Regions from separate parts of the Mus musculus genome. Here region 1 is reported to be linked to region 2. Evidence: microRNA targets listed by miRTarBase, many of them from high-throughput screens and not tested one by one. Region 2 holds a microRNA gene; the other region holds the end of a gene's coding sequence.

Evidence for each region. Region 2 holds the annotated microRNA mmu-miR-704 (AGACAUGUGCUCUGCUCCUAG, at 2,330-2,350, opposite strand). A microRNA usually pairs through its seed, bases 2 to 8, with sites in the 3' UTR of a target mRNA and lowers its output. Matches are read on the target gene's strand: a 7mer-m8 pairs with bases 2 to 8, a 7mer-A1 pairs with bases 2 to 7 and ends in A, and an 8mer does both.
Region 1: the mRNA of Thada is a reported target of mmu-miR-704. Seed matches in the 3' UTR shown: 7mer-m8 at 3,220-3,226.

Annotation. Positions count from the first base shown.
Region 1 is chr17:84,188,414-84,192,677 of GRCm38, forward strand. Thada (thyroid adenoma associated) reads right to left here. Exons shown (of 38, transcript NM_183021.3): 38 at 1,643-3,918. The coding sequence ends at 3,538. Gm36279 (a long non-coding RNA gene) reads left to right here and starts at 3,775. Exons shown (of 4, transcript XR_385852.4): 1 at 3,775-3,859.
Region 2 is chr6:47,801,261-47,805,524 of GRCm38, forward strand. Mir704 (microRNA 704) reads right to left here and starts at 2,392; the gene lies at 2,316-2,392. Pdia4 (protein disulfide isomerase associated 4) reads right to left here. Exons shown (of 10, transcript NM_009787.2): 5 at 2,445-2,650; 6 at 2,171-2,329.

The sequences.
Region 1 (4,264 bases), not on the chromosome of region 2:
GTGCGCTTGGCCAAGTTGCTTGGGACTAGGAACGGGGGTCGCGGCCTGTCCCGTAGGTGGCAGCTCCGGCCCGGCTGCACGTGGAGACGCAGTAGGGGTGGGGGCGGGAGCGGCCAGCCTGGAGGAGCATTGGCGCGTTTCTCCGCCCCTCTCCCCGCCCAGGCTCAGTAAACAGGACTTGAGCGCTGCGGCCTGTGGGGCAGAGCCGAGTGTCTGAGGACAAGGCGCTGGCTTTGCTAATCACATCACAAGACCTTGAGCCTGGGCCAAAGGCGCCGAGTGGCGCGGGGTGTCCGGGGCGGGAAAGCCTATTCCAGGGGACTAGAGGGAAGTCGGAGGAGCAGTGTGGACATAGAGGAAGTCACTTCCTTCACCTTTGTGCCTGCTGGTTGGCCTGGCCTCCTCTCGGGGATGTGGGTGCAGCTCCTAGCCAAGGCTTCCCGCCTGTACAGCCTTGGCCTGTCGAATCCTGCAACCTTCCTCCTTCTGCTGTGGGAGGCGCGGCATTGAATCTAAGCTTTGTGTGAGCTGCCGGAGGCGAGGCGGTGATTGCTGAACCACCACCCAGGTTGGGGGAAAGAGGTCCTCATTCGGTTGCCTTTAGTGCAACTCCTACCAGCTTTCCATGGAAAAAGCAGTCCCAGAAGGCCCCTGGCTCTTTTTGAGAGGGGTCTCACACACACACACCTCCACACACCTAGCGACCCCCACCCCCACCCCGTGAGGCCCATCTGGTCAGGTCCAGAACCCTTTATCCCTACACTTCATACTGGCTGCCAAAAGCTGGAGTTGGGCCCATGAATTCACCCAGCTGGCAGTCCGGGTTGCCCTGGGTGGAAGGCCCAGTAGTTGCCAGAGAAGGCTGCTTGACCAACTACATCCTTCCCATGTTGCTCTTCCTGTCTGGTTGACCCAGTCCAGTGTGCACTTGGGCTGTATCAGTTAACCTTGAAGCTAAGGAGGTAGATCTGTCACTCAAAGGCTCCTGAGTCCAGGTGCATTTGGCCACACTGCAGTGCATGCTGCCCCTGTAGGTAGAGCCAATGGCTGCCAGAAGACTGTAGTGTCTTGGACGTAGTGCTGAGTGGGTTGGGTACGGTGGTTCATGCCTATAGTCCTAGCACTAATCACAAACTGTGGTGAGTTTTAGGCTAGCCTTGCACAGCTTAGTGTGAGAGTGAGACCATACCCCTATAAAGGAACAAAGCCCTCACCATCTTATATATTAAAGCAAACTGGCTTTTGGCTGTGGTCTGAGCAAGGGGCCACCCAGATCTTAGGACCCTCAAGTGTAGTGACTTAGGGAAGATGGCTGCTTCACTCTTCCCACCCACGTTGCTCTTGCCCCTATTACTGCTGGGTTCTGTGGCTGAAAGGACCCCAAATGTAAGCATGAGGCTGTGACTAAGGTTTTCCTGGTTTCTCTCAGGAAAGCATGCAGCAGTCGTTCCCCTAGCTACTGCTAGCAGGATTGCAGATACAAGCCCACCTGTGGAGCCATCCATCCCTCCTGTCCTCCCAGATTGGCCACAGCCAGCCAAGATCCAAGTCTGGGGTAAGTCCCAGCTAATGGCAGACTTGGTAGGATGGACTTGGAGATAACATAAGCCTGCTCTGAAACATGCTTTGGGACAGCATGCCTGCCAATGTGAGATGGTTTTATTGTCATGTAACTGCTTTTATTTCATTTTAGATGGAAGGGGAGAGGGAAGGTTGGGTCCTGTTCAGAATTAATCTCCCAAGGTTGTCACCACCAGCCCCTCTCACCAACTAGATCTTAAAGTAGTGTAATGCTGGGTATAGTGGTGTATGCCTGGAATCCTGGCACTCAGGAGGCAAAGGCAGGAGGATTAACACAAGTTTGAGGCCAGCCTAGTGTAAATAGCAAGCCTGACTCAGAAAACTAAAAGCAAAGCCCAAAACAAACTAAACAATGTTAGGTTTTCAATTTTTCATCAGCAGTGGGTTGCACTGCCTAACTAGGTAATTACTACAGGGCCACACAGACCCCAGGGTGCTGAGTGTTTCTAAGACCACCCAGGGGATTTCTGTTCCTCTTCATGGCCAGGAAGGACACAGCTCCTGACTTCCCTCTCCCTGCGTACAGGTCTCTACTCCAGCACAGCCGTGTTTCTGTGGTGCAGGATGGTTTTCTTCTGAGACCAATTACATGTGAAATGTCAGCGTCTCTGCAGGAGGAGCTAGCATATAGAATGCCTCTCTCCCTTTTCCTCATGATTCTAAGTGACTACTCACTGAGAAGTATCTGAACATAGCTATAGGCCCTACAAGTTCCTTCTATGGCTGGCATGGTCTTTGTGGATAACTGGGAATGTGGATCACACTACAGCAACACATCCACGCCGTGAATTGAAGGCAAGCGTCTGCGGGTGTCACGTACTCTGGAAGCACACGTAGCATGGTAAGCTGGGCCACATGATGCGGCTCAGTGGATAAACGTGCGTGCTCTGCAAGCCTGAGCCTGAGTCGATCTCTGAAGCCCATGCAGAGGCGGGAGGAGAGAGCTGGCTCTATAAAGTTGTCCCTCAACTTCCTCAGACATCCATGCTGGGGCATGGGTGCCCTCCTATCATGTACAGGTGCTGATAATAGTTTTAAAAAGTTTTAAAAGAGTAGGCTAAAAGCGCTAGACCAGCAGCATAATGTGTGCAAGAGCGCCACCTGCTGGTGTTCGAGGATGCCAGCTGGGCTGGGCCTGAAGTGACAAACCCTTCCGGTTTCTATATGGAATCACCTAAAGTGGGTAAATGTGTTTCTTGGCACTCTGCTGTCTCCACCAATCACAGGACGGTGTACAGTGGTGGCACCGAATGAATTAAGCATTTGCTCAGGCTTCCCTTTCCCCAGGCTCTGTCCAATAGCTGAGGCCAGTGATGGGTGACAAGGGTTCCTAGCCTTCGCAGGCATTTCTGGGTAAGACAGTGGGGACTCTTAATATGGACCACTGAAGGACTTGGGCAGGTAGATAGTAAAATGCAAGTATTTGCATGTTGTAGGTTCTTAATATTCCCAGAATCAAACATACCCTTTACTAAAATGGAATAAAAGTTTATAAATATGACCAAATAGGTATTTGCTAAACAAAACCAAACAAAAGAGCACTGTGTGTGTGTGTGTGTGTGAGAGAGAGAGAAAGAGCACTGTGTGTGTGTGTGTGTGTGAGAGAGAGAGAGAGAGAGAGAGAGGGAGAGAGAGAGAGACATGTAAGCTAAGACTGAATTCAATGCAGTCAGTGTATGGGGAAATGGGCGCTGGCTTTGGGATAGAACTGACTAGTTCAGGCCTGCAGGTGGCTTGCACCTGGAGACAGTAAACCTGCAGACAGCAGCTTCACTTCCTAGGTAGCTGCAACTAATTGGGTTGCCTTGAATGAGTGTGCTGCAGACAAGGTCCTCAGTAGGAAGGGACAGAAGCCTAGACTCCCAGAAGTGGGGAGGCACCTGAGGAAAAGAGTTTCAATTGGTGTCCACCATGTATGTGTCTTGCAGACCTGAGCTGAGGCCCAGCCACCTTTCTTCAGCATGCTGCTTCTGTTCTTGGGGCCATTACTTGTCTCCATTCCCTAGGGCAGTCTTCGGCTCTGAGACCCTCCTTTCCTTCCAGGCAGGCCAACAGCCTCAGGACAGCCAAAGTCCTTTCCTCCTGAATGCGCAGCCTCGTGTATTCCACTGTCTTCAAAAACTCAGCTGAGAGTGGAAGTTCTCTGAAGAGCTGAGAGATGAGGTGACTCTGCTCTGATGCTATCCTTTGCAAGTGACAGAGCTTCTGGGAGTGAGGGGACTGCCAGCCAGATTGACAGAGGAGATGGAAGAGTTGCCTACACAGGGATTTCACGAAGGTCAGAGTCTCAGCCCAGAAGTTGACTTCTGATTTTTCAAAGATATGCTCTTCTTCCCCCTACATCAAGTGACAAACAGCCAGAGTAAGTCTCCGAGGAGTCCTGTGGAGCCAGGCACAGCACTAGATGTGGGAGCTGTGTCTATTCCTGACAGGGCCCACTGGGGCTGTCAGCGCCCGTGCCACAGCACTTGCCGCTCTGAAGGTCACCTTCTACTTTCACTCAATACCTCTCTCCCAGCCGGACCACGACCTTTGATAAAGATGTGAATTAGCTCCAAGCCAAGATACTTGGGGAACTGGTGGTGCGGAAGTGGGTCTTAGGTTTTAAGGTGTACTGAGAAAAATCTTAGGTTTTAAGGTGTGCCGAGAAAATTCAGAGGAGGCACAAAGGAAGTCTGGACAG
Region 2 (4,264 bases):
ACAGGGTTTCTCTGTACAGTCCTGGCTGTCCTGGAACTCACTCTGTAGACCAGGCTGGCCTCAAACTCAGAAATCTGCCTGTCTCTGCCTCCCAAGTGCTGGGACTAAAGGCGTACGACACCACTGCCCAGCTAGTAGCCTGCTTCAAAGTTCAGCACAAATATAATATCTAAGTCTTCCATCTTAGAATTTGTCAGAAATACAAAATAATACATTCACAGAAATTTAGAACTGTTTGTTTGGAGCAAATGTTTCCTCCTATCTATGACAAGTAGCAAACTGGAACCCAGGACGACAGTACCTCTCAGAGAACATGCAAGTACCATATAGTCCTGTGACTTTACACTGAGGTTTCATACCTAGTGCCCTTTACAGAGGTTTCAAGCTCTTGTCCCGAGATTAAGAACTCTGCATTTAGCCAAATCCCTGGCTAGGCTGGACTTTCCCTTATTGGGCATTGGGCTATGCACAGTCTGGTCTCCAGCCGAGCCGAGGTCTGAACCCCAGAGTGGTGATAATTCACCTACATGGCACGGTAGGTGTTCCCTTATGCTCCTGGAACTCTGGCTCCTGTCGAAGTTACGGCCCCCACAGCCCTCACAGGAGAAGCATGGCTAGTAGTCATGTAGACAATGTCCCAAGCTTCTGACCTTCAGGCTACACTCCTCCCCAGTTATGTAGCAACAGTAAAGATAACAGCCCACCATAAGAGGGGCTGCTTGGCCCCACCTCACTCTAACCTCTCATCCTCTCCTCTCCTCGCTCTCACTCTCTCCTCTCTTTCTTACTTTCTAGCCTTTCCTCTTTCTCTCTCTTTCCCCTTTCTCTCCTCTTGGGCATGGCCGGTCTCTCTCTCTCTTTCTACCTTCTCTCTTTTCTCCCTGCCTTTCTACAATGAAGCTCTAAAACCATAGACTGTCTCTGTTCATCAAGGCCCGCTGCGCTTGGACGATGGGATAGGCTTTCTCTTAACAAGCCATTTCTGATCTCCGGATGGAAGGCCTTCCTGTGTTCCAGTAAAGGCCCAGACTAAGGACTCTCTCCTGTGTGGGAACCTCTCTCCTTCAGCCCTCTTTCCCATAGCCCCGGGGCGCCCCCAGTTGGGGGCTGCCCCTTGTCCATCCCCCACTGAGTGAGGTCAGTGGCTTAGATGTCCACCCAGGGCTGAGTAGAAAGCGTCTGGCAGTCCTCCCGCATCCCCCTGCCCAGAGAATAGGAGGAACTCTGGCCGGACTCACGCTATCCCCTCTCCCTCCTCTTCCCTGACCCCCTTAGTTCCCACATTCCCTGGGTAAATTCTTCCTGATTAGCCAAGAGCAGATGATAGTTAACTAACCAGTGAAGACTAAAGAAACACGAATTAAACTGAGCTCTTCTCTAAAGTGCTGACAAAGCAGCAGGCTGCTCTGGGTACAGCTTACATCTTTAATCCTAGCACCTCGGAGACAGAGCTGGCAGATCTCTGTGAGTTTGAGGCCAGTGTGGTCTACAGAGTAAAACCAGGGCTACACAGAGGTCCTCTCTCAAAACAAACAAATAAATCACCAGCCTGAACTGAAAGTATGTACAAGCATTGCTATGCCACGGAGAGATCAGCACAAGGTGACAAGTGACATGCTGAAAGGAAACTTAGTGATGAAGTAGACTACACTTGTGCTGTGTGAAGGGGGAAATGAGGAAAAGGTGGCACTGAGGATCCTAAAACCCACAAACACTGGCCTGATGGAGCCAGCGTGTGAGCAGTGTTAGTTAACTAGCAAGGGCCAGGACCTGAATCCAGGCCCAAGTCAGCGCTGTTCTTTCTAGGAGAGGAGGAAGGCAAACAACCTGAATTAATGTGATTGTGTCCGGTGGGGAGACAGTGCAGCTGGTTTTTCACATTTAGCATGTGATTATACACGGCACCAACTATGTATGACAGCCACAAGGACCTGACCCACAGCCTCAGCACAAGGCTGGAAAGCTAATTCCCACAGTTACTCCCTTGGTTCTTCCATCAAGCATTTGCTACACTGATATACTCTTATGGAAGAGCATTTGCTGTTTTGGTGGGGCTAAGGTTTGAGTCTAGGACCTCATGAATACTAGGCAACAACCCAATCATTATGCTAATTTTATGCAAAACAGCCTACTTCCCCCAAAGCCTCAGGAGTATGGCTTACATACTCACCAGCATCCTGATACTGCAAGTAGGCCGGGTCACCATCTCCCTGAAAGAGCCCAATGATGACCACATCATCTCCATCCTTCAGGAACTCCTGGACCTGCTTCAGGGTCAGGATCTCCTTTGAGGGAGGCCCAGACTGCTCAATCATGTAGTCAACAATCCCTAGGAGCAGAGCACATGTCTGAGGAAGATCCTTGCAGCTGACCACATCCTCTAGCTCCCAGCTGTGCAAGGGACAGTCCCTTTCCACACACTACGAGGAAGGTAGCAGCCATACCATATTTCTCTCGTGGGCCATTGTAGTCAAAAGGCCTTCCTTTGCGGAAAATTTTCAAAGTCGGGTAGCCAGAGACATCAAACCTCTTAGCCAGGTCTGTCTGTTCGGTGGCGTCCACTTTGGCTAAGGGAATTGGGGGAGAGCGCTTGCTGAGCTCCTTGGCAGCTTTCTCATACTCAGGGGCAAGTTTCTTGCAGTGTCCACACCTGCCAAAAGGAAGGCAATTCCATCAGGAATTTGTCCCAGCATGGGTTCATGTATTAGCTAAGTGAGGTGCAGAGGCCAATCCCCATGGGCCCAAGGAACTCAGTTACACCCACCAAATCTTGGAATGTCTCCTAGGTGAGAATGACAAGACAGGCCCCACAGGCACACTAAATTGTTGGAACATGAGACTCTTGTCGTTGGCATTCACATCCAAGAGGCCTGTGTGTGTAGACAGGAGCACAGCAAACTGGTAGAAAGACAAGGAAAAAAGCAAGAGAGCCACCGTCCTAAGAAGGGAGAAGATATTCTTAGAATCTAGGGGCTGTCAACAATATAAATCAGGAGTGGCTTATTGAGGAGGTGACAGCTTATGCTTTTTTGGCCTTATCTAATATCAAGTATAGACAATGGTAACAGACTAGCTGGATTCAGGGGCTGAGAGAGGCAACAATGTAAACAAAGACAGAGGACTAGAGTGTAACAAATTCTTAGCCTACAAACCAGAGCAGGAGATAAACAGGATTTGCAACTAGGATTATGATTAACAGACTGTGTAGGGGCCAAAGTAGCAGAAGAACACATGCCTATCTGACTGGCACCCAGGTTTATTTAAACTTTGGCGGCACACAAACCACCAAACAAAAAACAAACGATCCACAGCATGAGACCCCGATGACTTATATCTGCTCTCAGGCCCTCCCAGTTAACATAAACACTGCCTCCTCCAGGTCCTTAATTAAAGGGTACATCCTACAACATGTCAACCATCTGCAAGTAAAGGGTAACTCTCTTCTTAGGTACCATGAGGTTATAAGGTGCTTAATGAGCTTGCTAGGTCCACAGCTACACACAACTCCTGAGTGGTCACTGTGGAGGTTGGAATGAAATGTCTGTCTCCTGTCTCCCATTTGAATGCTTGGTCCCTACTTGGTGATGCTGTTTGGAGAAGCTTAGAGGCTGTAACCTTGTTGGAGGATGTATGTCAATAGAAGTGGGCTTTCAAGAGTTAAAAGATTCCCACCATTTTCTAGTTTGTTCTGTCTGCTTCACTCTGGTGGGTCCTCAGCTTCCTACCCCTGCTGCCAGGCCTGCACTCTGCCATCATATGGTCTATTATCTCTCTGGAACCATAAGGCCACACAAAGTCCTTCTTTTATAAGCTGTCTCTGTTATTCTCTTTCCTCACAGCAAATAATAGTAACAGTCATAAACCAGAATGGGTAGGTGACCCACTAGTACAATGTCATGTCTCACCGATCATGTCAGGCCTCTTCTATAGCAATGTAAGGACTGGCATCTCTTTAGCACTCAAGCTGGGTCACAAAAGGTGCCACTGGCTTATCTGCACCCCAATACACTACGTTATTTCCTTCCTTCTCCCCCAGTTTGTTTTCCCTTTGGGCATCCCTTTGTGTTGTCATTTCATCTGTACACCCAACAATGAACAGATATAGTGGTTTTTGCTGCAGAATCCAGAAAGCCACAGGTCTGGGTTCACACGGGCCCTGCCTGAGTCAGGGCAGACTAGCTCCTTGCTATGTATCAGCCACAGTCTCTGCCTGCTGATTCTAACACAACAACCTTCTTTTCCTTGCTGACACTCAGGGCCTCAT